2 linked regions of the Kluyveromyces lactis genome follow. The protein of the gene in region 2 binds, or shares a complex with, the protein of the main gene of each other region. Links are inferred from orthologs where the notes say so. Each region holds a gene or a part of one and is shown on either strand. Other genes may lie near its edges.

Evidence for each region.
Region 1: TEL2 (region 2) and TTI2 share a complex: the UniProt entries of both Saccharomyces cerevisiae proteins name them as parts of the TTT complex. The link is inferred for Kluyveromyces lactis from reciprocal best matches to the Saccharomyces cerevisiae genes TEL2 and TTI2.

Annotation. Positions count from the first base shown.
Region 1 is NC_006038.1:366,654-370,121, reverse strand, and holds TTI2 (Tti2p), read right to left. Parts: upstream 1,943-3,468; coding exon 659-1,942; downstream 1-658. Other genes in the region: protein transporter TIM8, read left to right, coding at 216-479; KLLA0_B04004g (pseudouridine-5'-phosphate glycosidase/carbohydrate kinase family protein), read left to right, coding at 2,219-3,468. UniProt on the Saccharomyces cerevisiae protein: Component of the ASTRA complex probably in chromatin remodeling.
Region 2 is NC_006040.1:1,280,510-1,284,592, reverse strand, and holds TEL2 (Tel2p), read right to left. Parts: upstream 2,699-4,083; coding exon 698-2,698; downstream 1-697. Other genes in the region: HOB2 (Hob2p), read right to left, coding at 1-320; ESP1 (separase), read left to right, coding at 2,999-4,083. UniProt on the Saccharomyces cerevisiae protein: Part of the TTT complex that is required to stabilize protein levels of the phosphatidylinositol 3-kinase-related protein kinase (PIKK) family proteins. Required for telomere length regulation and telomere position effect.

The sequences.
Region 1 (3,468 bases), on a different chromosome or scaffold from region 2:
ATTTCAAGGCTTTTGGTTGATCGAGGTTGCCTTCTTGTAAAGCTTTAATGCCTAAAAAAAAAGTAAAAGAAAAAAAAAGCTGAAAACTGAATTGAACAAAGAACAAAACAGCGAAATAGCGATGGAAACCTTCAATAAATTTTAAACAATACGCCAATCCTATAGTTACCAGCACCGCTTTACAGTTTGGAAAGAGCCACACATATATACAAAGAATGTCTTCTATCTCACAAAACGATTTATCTAACTTGGATGATGGTTCCAAGAAAGAAATCATGACCTTTTTAGAATCCGAGAATTCCAAGCAAAAAGTACAGATGTCTATTCATCAGTTCACCAATCTTTGTTTCAAAAACTGTATTAGCAACGTTCAAAATGCTGATTTGTCTTCTCAAGAAGAACAATGCCTAAACAACTGTGTTAACAGATTTTTGGACACAAATATCAGAATTGTTAAGGGTTTGCAATCTATTCAATAATTTCACTCCGCGATGTGAAAAGAAAATGTAGCGCCTGCTAAACCTGAACCTGTAAAGCTCGTTGTGTGACTCCACTTCTTGTACATATATCAGTGAGCCCCGCCCCTGGTTCGTTTTATTTTCGGATTGCTAAGTTACAGGGTTAGTATTTTTCTTTATGTGATGAATTAGATAGGTATTTATGCAAATAAATTAGTAAGAGATTTACGCTCCTTCAGTTTCTTTGATTCTTCTTTGAAATCACATCCGAATGATTCGAGTTTAGCTAATAATACTTTACATTTGTCTAAGACATCTGCTGTTAAAGATCCCTCGTTGTAACATTTTTCATAGCATAGTAGAATGCAAGCTAGGATATCATACCTTTGATTGACTATACTCTCTGGAATACATTGATCACAGAGTAATATCAATAGATCAAGACACTTATGTAAAATTGGCATTTGTAATGTCATGAACGCATTCCTGAAATAGAATTCCCCAAGAACGTATATCACACGCTGTAAATATAATGTTGTTTCTTTCCCCAACATCAGAACAACATCTTGACAATAGCCAAGAATCCACAAAGAGAGCCCAGGGTAGTCTAATCCGATTCTTGGAATAGTAAGTTGTAATATATTCTCAGAAAACATGTGCCCTAATCTATCTCTAAAATCTTGATCGTTATCTGAAGCTTCTACTCTCAATATTAGCTGTAACGCAGGATATGTCACTTTCCATGTGCGAAGCGTCTCTTCTGGAGTTGAGGATGGTGGTAAGTTGTATAAAAGGTTTGTCAATATTGGCTCGTATACCTTTTGTAGCCCGGTATCCTTGAAATTAAAATTATATGTATCTCGCTTGTTCAACACTGATTCTAGTAATGTGCAGAGCAACATAATTCCATAAACTCTCACATTTTCTGGCCCTAATGTAGTGTCATCAATTATATTAAGTATTCCTGGACTTATCCAGGGTAGGTTTGCAGAAATTTCCTGCTTCCCTAAGTGTCTCAAAATAATATAAAATAACCCAATACTTCGTAATCCACCATTAGTCCTCCATTCTTTCCATCTTGATTCACCAAACGTTTGTTCAAAGCCTAATCTTGGCTGTAGGCCAGGTCTGGAGCTTTCAATCTTACGGCGGCCTGAAGGGGTTAAATTATCATTATTGATCCCGGTCGATTTTATTAACATTGGTTTCAATGCAGAAATGAAGGAATGTACCAAATCATGATCTCGGTCCAAATAATTATCTATAAGATGTGTTACTCTATCTCTTTGCTCGTACCTTGTCCAGTGTTCATTTAACAAAAAGTATGACAAGCTGACCAATCCTTTGGTAAACCATTCTTCCTTATTCTCAACGTTTATATTCTTATCATAGAAAATAATCAATTGTTCTACTGAATCTTTGCTTGGAACACTCAATTTGTCTTCCTCAAGGTTTAATAAAAAATTCAACACATGTTGATTCATTGTATAATCGATTGGCTTCTAGATTGGCCTTAGAAATGCTATATTTTGAGGTTTTTCGGCAAGGCTTGGTAACGATCATCAATATGCTTGAATTTGGGATGAGCTCTCAAAAATATGACATATAAAATAAATGGATCTGAAAACTATGTGATATCGGAAGAAGATATAATGTCGTCGAACAGAGAAGATAACTGTTGAGGCTATCTGATAGTGTTGTTCTTCGCTGAAGAGTGTTTTTGTGATTCTGGTAACTGATAGCATTGACTGCTGGACAAGATGCTACGAACTTCAGTGAGGTCTCATGTACAAAGGATAGGTCATCGAAGGCTGCATTTGTCTGTCTCTGATGAAATACGGGAGGCATTGAATGCCAAAATGCCCGTAGTGGCATTGGAATCCACCATAATATCACATGGATTACCGTACCCGGAAAATATAGAGATGGCCTTGAAGGTGGAGCAAGAAATCAGGAACAACGGAGCCATACCTGCAACAACAGCTTTCATTAATGGTATCCCTAAAGTTGGATTAAAGACGAGAGAAATCGAACAATTAGCAGAGTATGCTAGGAAGGGTCTGGTAAATAAAGTTTCTCGACGTGATATATCTTATACTATTGCTCAAAAACTTTATGGAGGCACTACAATATCGAGTACGATGATCTTGTCCCACAAGGCAGGTATTGAAGTATTTGCTACAGGGGGACTAGGTGGCGTTCATAAAGGCGGTGAACTAACTCTTGATGTTAGTGCTGATTTAGAAGAATTAGGAAGAACTCCTGTATCCGTGGTGTGTGCAGGCCCAAAGGCAATATTGGATATCCCTAGAACTATGGAATATTTAGAGACTAAAGGATGCATGGTAGCTACAATGGGGCCCCCGGGGACGAATGTTCCAGGTTTCTATACTAGAGATTCAGGAGTGAAATCTCCTTATAATTTTAACTCTTATCTGGAAGCTGCACAAATTATACGAGATGGTAATGAATTTGGGTTAAATTCGGGCTACTTATTCTGTTGCCCTCCTCCAAGAGAAGTGGCTTTGGATGATAACTTCATTAACGATATAATAGAACAAGCATGCCAAAATGCAGCAGCAGCAGGTATTAGTGGTAAAGAGTTAACACCTTTTTTACTCAGGGAGATAGCTTCAAAGACTTCAGGAGCGTCTGTTAAATGTAATATTTCATTTGTACTGAACAACTGTAAAATTGCAGCAAATATAGCGGCTTCTCTATCTAAACTAAAGCAAAACATTATTCCAAGATATGAGCCTAAAAATCAACGGGGAACTATGACAAGCCAGGAAACTTCAGGCAATGAAAAGGAGACAAAGGTTCTATCTGCGGTAATTGGCTCTGTCGCTCTTGATACTCAGTGCACTTTCAATTCTTCACATATATACCAAGGTGATTCTAATCCTGGGAAAGCGTCAACCTCTATTGGAGGAGTTGGACACAACGTTGCGTTAAGTGCAAACTACAGTAATCGAAGCTCTCAACATCAAACCACACTAATCAGTGCTGT
Region 2 (4,083 bases):
TCTTGATTATCCGATATCTCCTTCGGTATATGCTCTTCAAATTCACATACCACATTTACGTCCCAACATTCAATCTTAGAAAAAAGTGAGAGTAGTAACACCTTCCGTACCTTAAAACTGTAGCCTTTGTAAATAAGATGCAACCAATAAATGCTTCGTCCAAATAAAAATCCAATCTGGAGCTTAGAAATGACAATCCTAGCATTGAAGTATAGTAACGCAAGATTGAATATAATCTGTTGCGTAACGAAAAGTATCGTCATCAATGCCAGAATTGATTTAATGCCATTGAATAACAGCGATATAATATCATATCCCATGTTTCATTGGCTGACGCAAGTAGCTACTTGTTACCCAGATCTAACGTGTCGGTAGATTGGCGGTGAGCAGAAGTGAATGGTTGTTTGTAATGATCAGCGTCTTATTCCGAACTTTTGAGCGTTTTCTTTACCTTAAAAGAGAAGCTTCGGGAAATCACGTGACCAATGCGCTGGGGCACCTAAACTCGTTAACTGCTTATGGGAAAGCAATGAAACCTTTGGTTGCACGCTCGAGACGGTTTAACAGTGTAAATAGGTTATGAAGTCAAATATGTCGAGATATACATTGCGTGTGCAGGTAGTAATTTGATGAAAATTTTTTTTTCCTCTAACCATAGGCTCCATTGAATTCCCCAGATTTTGTCATTCAATGAGTCTTAAGAGGTTTGAACTTGTTGTTTCACAGCATCCGAAAGGATTTCTTGCATCAAAATTTGCATCTCTTCTAGCTCATAATGAGGACTTGCACAAGTTAAAATGATCTTGAGCATAGATATGTAGTGTCTCTTGAACACTTTATCGAATGCACCAAGGTTAATTCCGTTCAACCAAGCATGTGCCAAGGGATAGAAGAAGAGTGTAGCGTACTTCCTAAAATTATTCTGCTGTTGTGTAATCTTACTATCAGTCTCTAAACGTTTTGATCTCCAAGTAACCTTGCTTCCTGTTATTTCAGTAATATCTTGTATCTTATTATTTTCAGGTTGCTGTTCAGTGGCCGATTCATCCCATGGTAATCGATTAGTAGGAAAATCGTATTTAGGTTTCACCACAAATTCATCATCAAAACCCCGTAGTTCCCTTGCACTCAATGCTGCAGATGTCAAGATTACCATCCTTTGTTGCAACGATAACTCGTTATTGAAGAGAATTGCATAAAGATCGACAATCTTGTCTGGACATACAACCAATATGCTAACTAATGCATTAGCCTTCCATTCTTCAAATGATTTTTCGTCAAACTTGTTCGATATGGTGGCTATCTTTTTGAGGAGTTCTTTAGAATAAAAAGATACTTCTGTTGGGAAGTTCTTCTTCTGTCGTACTAACTTCACAGTTTCCTTTAGCAATCTAAGTTCGGACCCATCATTCTTGATAACTTTCTCGAATTCCAGCAAAAGATCTTTGAGGAACAAGATGTCTCTAGAATCTTCTTCATCAGATTCATCGTCACTGTCCTGCAAAGTTATGGTATTAAATTGCTGTACAAGTTCATTCTTTGTAGAGTTCCCTTTTGGCAGATTTTGTAGTCCTTCCTTAATGGGAAATTCAAGTTTGGATAGCTTGATTAGTTCAATTCGAGGCAAATCGATTGTAAAATCGCTTTCATATTGAAGCTGATCATTTGTAAGTTTCTTGGCAACAAACATAGTACGCTCCCTAACCAGATGATCCTCAGAATGAAGTCTCTTGGTGACAAAATTCAAGGAAATTGCATCATGCGATAGTTCATCTCTGGAATCCTTAGACATGGCATCTAATATCATTACCAAGATTTCAGCGAGTGAATCATCTGTGTATAAATCCATCAGTTCAAAACATGGTAGTAATTCTCTGAAGAGCTGTGCACGTTTCGCTTCTGACATACCATGCAAGTAAACAATTTTAAAATACGGATTTCCCCATTTGAAGCAATCTATGCTAGTTGGGATATCGAATGGTAACTGGGATAGTAGTGTGAAAATGGTAGAGCTGTTATCAGGATTAGTTACTTTTTCAAGGAACGGGACCAAATGATACATGAAAAATCTCCTCTGTTGAACTGAGGTCCCCTTTGATAACATCATAATCAAAGCATTCCATGAAAATTCACTAGTAGTAGCAAGCCCTTCAATGAATATATCAACACCATAAGGAATATTGAGCTGTAGACATGAAACGAACATTTCGAGATGCGTCTTATCATATTGCTTCGTCTCTTTAAAGACAAATTCCCATTGCATCTTCATAAACTTTAAATATTCAACGATGGAAATACTGCTGCTTAAAGCGTTATAACATCTGCTTCCAAACAGAATCGATTTGATAAAAGGGAGATCTCTTCTTGACGAATGCTCTAAGTAATTGAATAGACAATCACTCTCATACTTAAGAACATCCGTTAAAAAGCCGTAGAATATTGACGTCTCACGATTCTTACCCAATTCTTTTGCATACTCAATAACCAATGATATGAATATGTAATTATTACCGCATAGCCTGCGTAGTGCCATCTTTAATTCTCTCGGTAGCGATGGATATATTGGTACCACATTCTTGATTATCGGGAGTATTTCGTTACTAGAATGCTGTTTCTTTGATGACATTCGTTCTAGTACCTGATAAATGGTATCTTTATCACATTTCTCATTCAACAAAGTACTATCAATCCCGGACATTGTGCGCTATAATATACAATCTATCACGTCAGCAGCACTTTAGCAGCTTTGCAATGCTTGTCTCATCTATAGGTTTTCATCTCATAGTCTTTTATTCATCTCATATTAAATGTCAATCTTTACAATAACACAAATAAAGAATTGTTTTTGTTTACATATTAGATTCTGTACTTGAAAGTGGCAGATTGCAGAAAGAACTAGAGACTATACACATATCAGCCCGCCAACTTCGTGGATATTGGGTAGCCAGGCTTTAGCCCATACTGTAGTACGTTTGAAACAGACAGCAGTCATATCGAAATGAAAGGTGTCTTGAGTGATATGAAAGTTGACAACAGAGTTAGAAGACCGTTAAACGCTGGATCAACAAAATACGATACGGAATGGCAGGCTACGTCAAATAGTTCGAAGATAACTACAGCACAGGAGAATAATACCAACTCCCTGATTGACTGGAAGAAATTGTACGATTTTGTGGATAATAAGAGCAAAGATTTTGAGAACTACATTCAAGTAAATGATAGTTTCATTCAGTTATATCGCCAATTGATCTGGCGTCATCAGTTGAAGAAACTTCAGGAACTTCCGAAAAAGCATATGAATTGGATTATTTTTTTGATGGAGAGAAACAAATTGACACAAGCTAGCAATCAGATCTTAATGCTATACAACGAAACCAATTTAATTAAGGCCAAAGGTATTGATGACGTTTTGTTAAGTGATTTTTCTGCGGGCAATGAGAATTACTTAGCAACATTAAAAGTAATAACAATGCAGTTGATATTGAAAACAGGAACGACAGAAAGACACGCGGAAAGTCTTTTGGAATGCTTTGCTCATGATACGCGATACCTTCTGAAAGACCCTAATGTGAAAGTCCACGCTTTGGTGAAGCTAATATTAAACTTCTTTACATTGCTAACTGGATTCAAGCCTTTGTTTGGACTCAAATTCGTTCAGTATGTGAATCAGTTCAAACTCGAATTTGGTAATTACATAAAGAATATGGATTCTTCGACGTTTCAAAGACAAATTACCAAATTACTTCGAAAGGATATATCTGTAAACTGCCACATCTATTTACCGAAATACTATGATGAGTATACGAAACATATGGAGAACGATCAAGTGAACTTGACCGAATTTTTGAGGACTGATGTTATAGGTAAGGACGTTTGCACGGAAATAAGAAATCAATTGCGCCTCCAGAGTTTTTCTGCAGGTAAGATCGATGCACTTCTACGACCTTTTTTGTATCAAGCTGCCTTAAACAAATCATCCTCGAGATTGTGTGATAGTCTAATCATTTCTGTCAATAATTCCATTAAAGACCTGAATGAGGAAGCTGTAATTTATGTTCTTGTTTACCTATCCAAAATATTTTT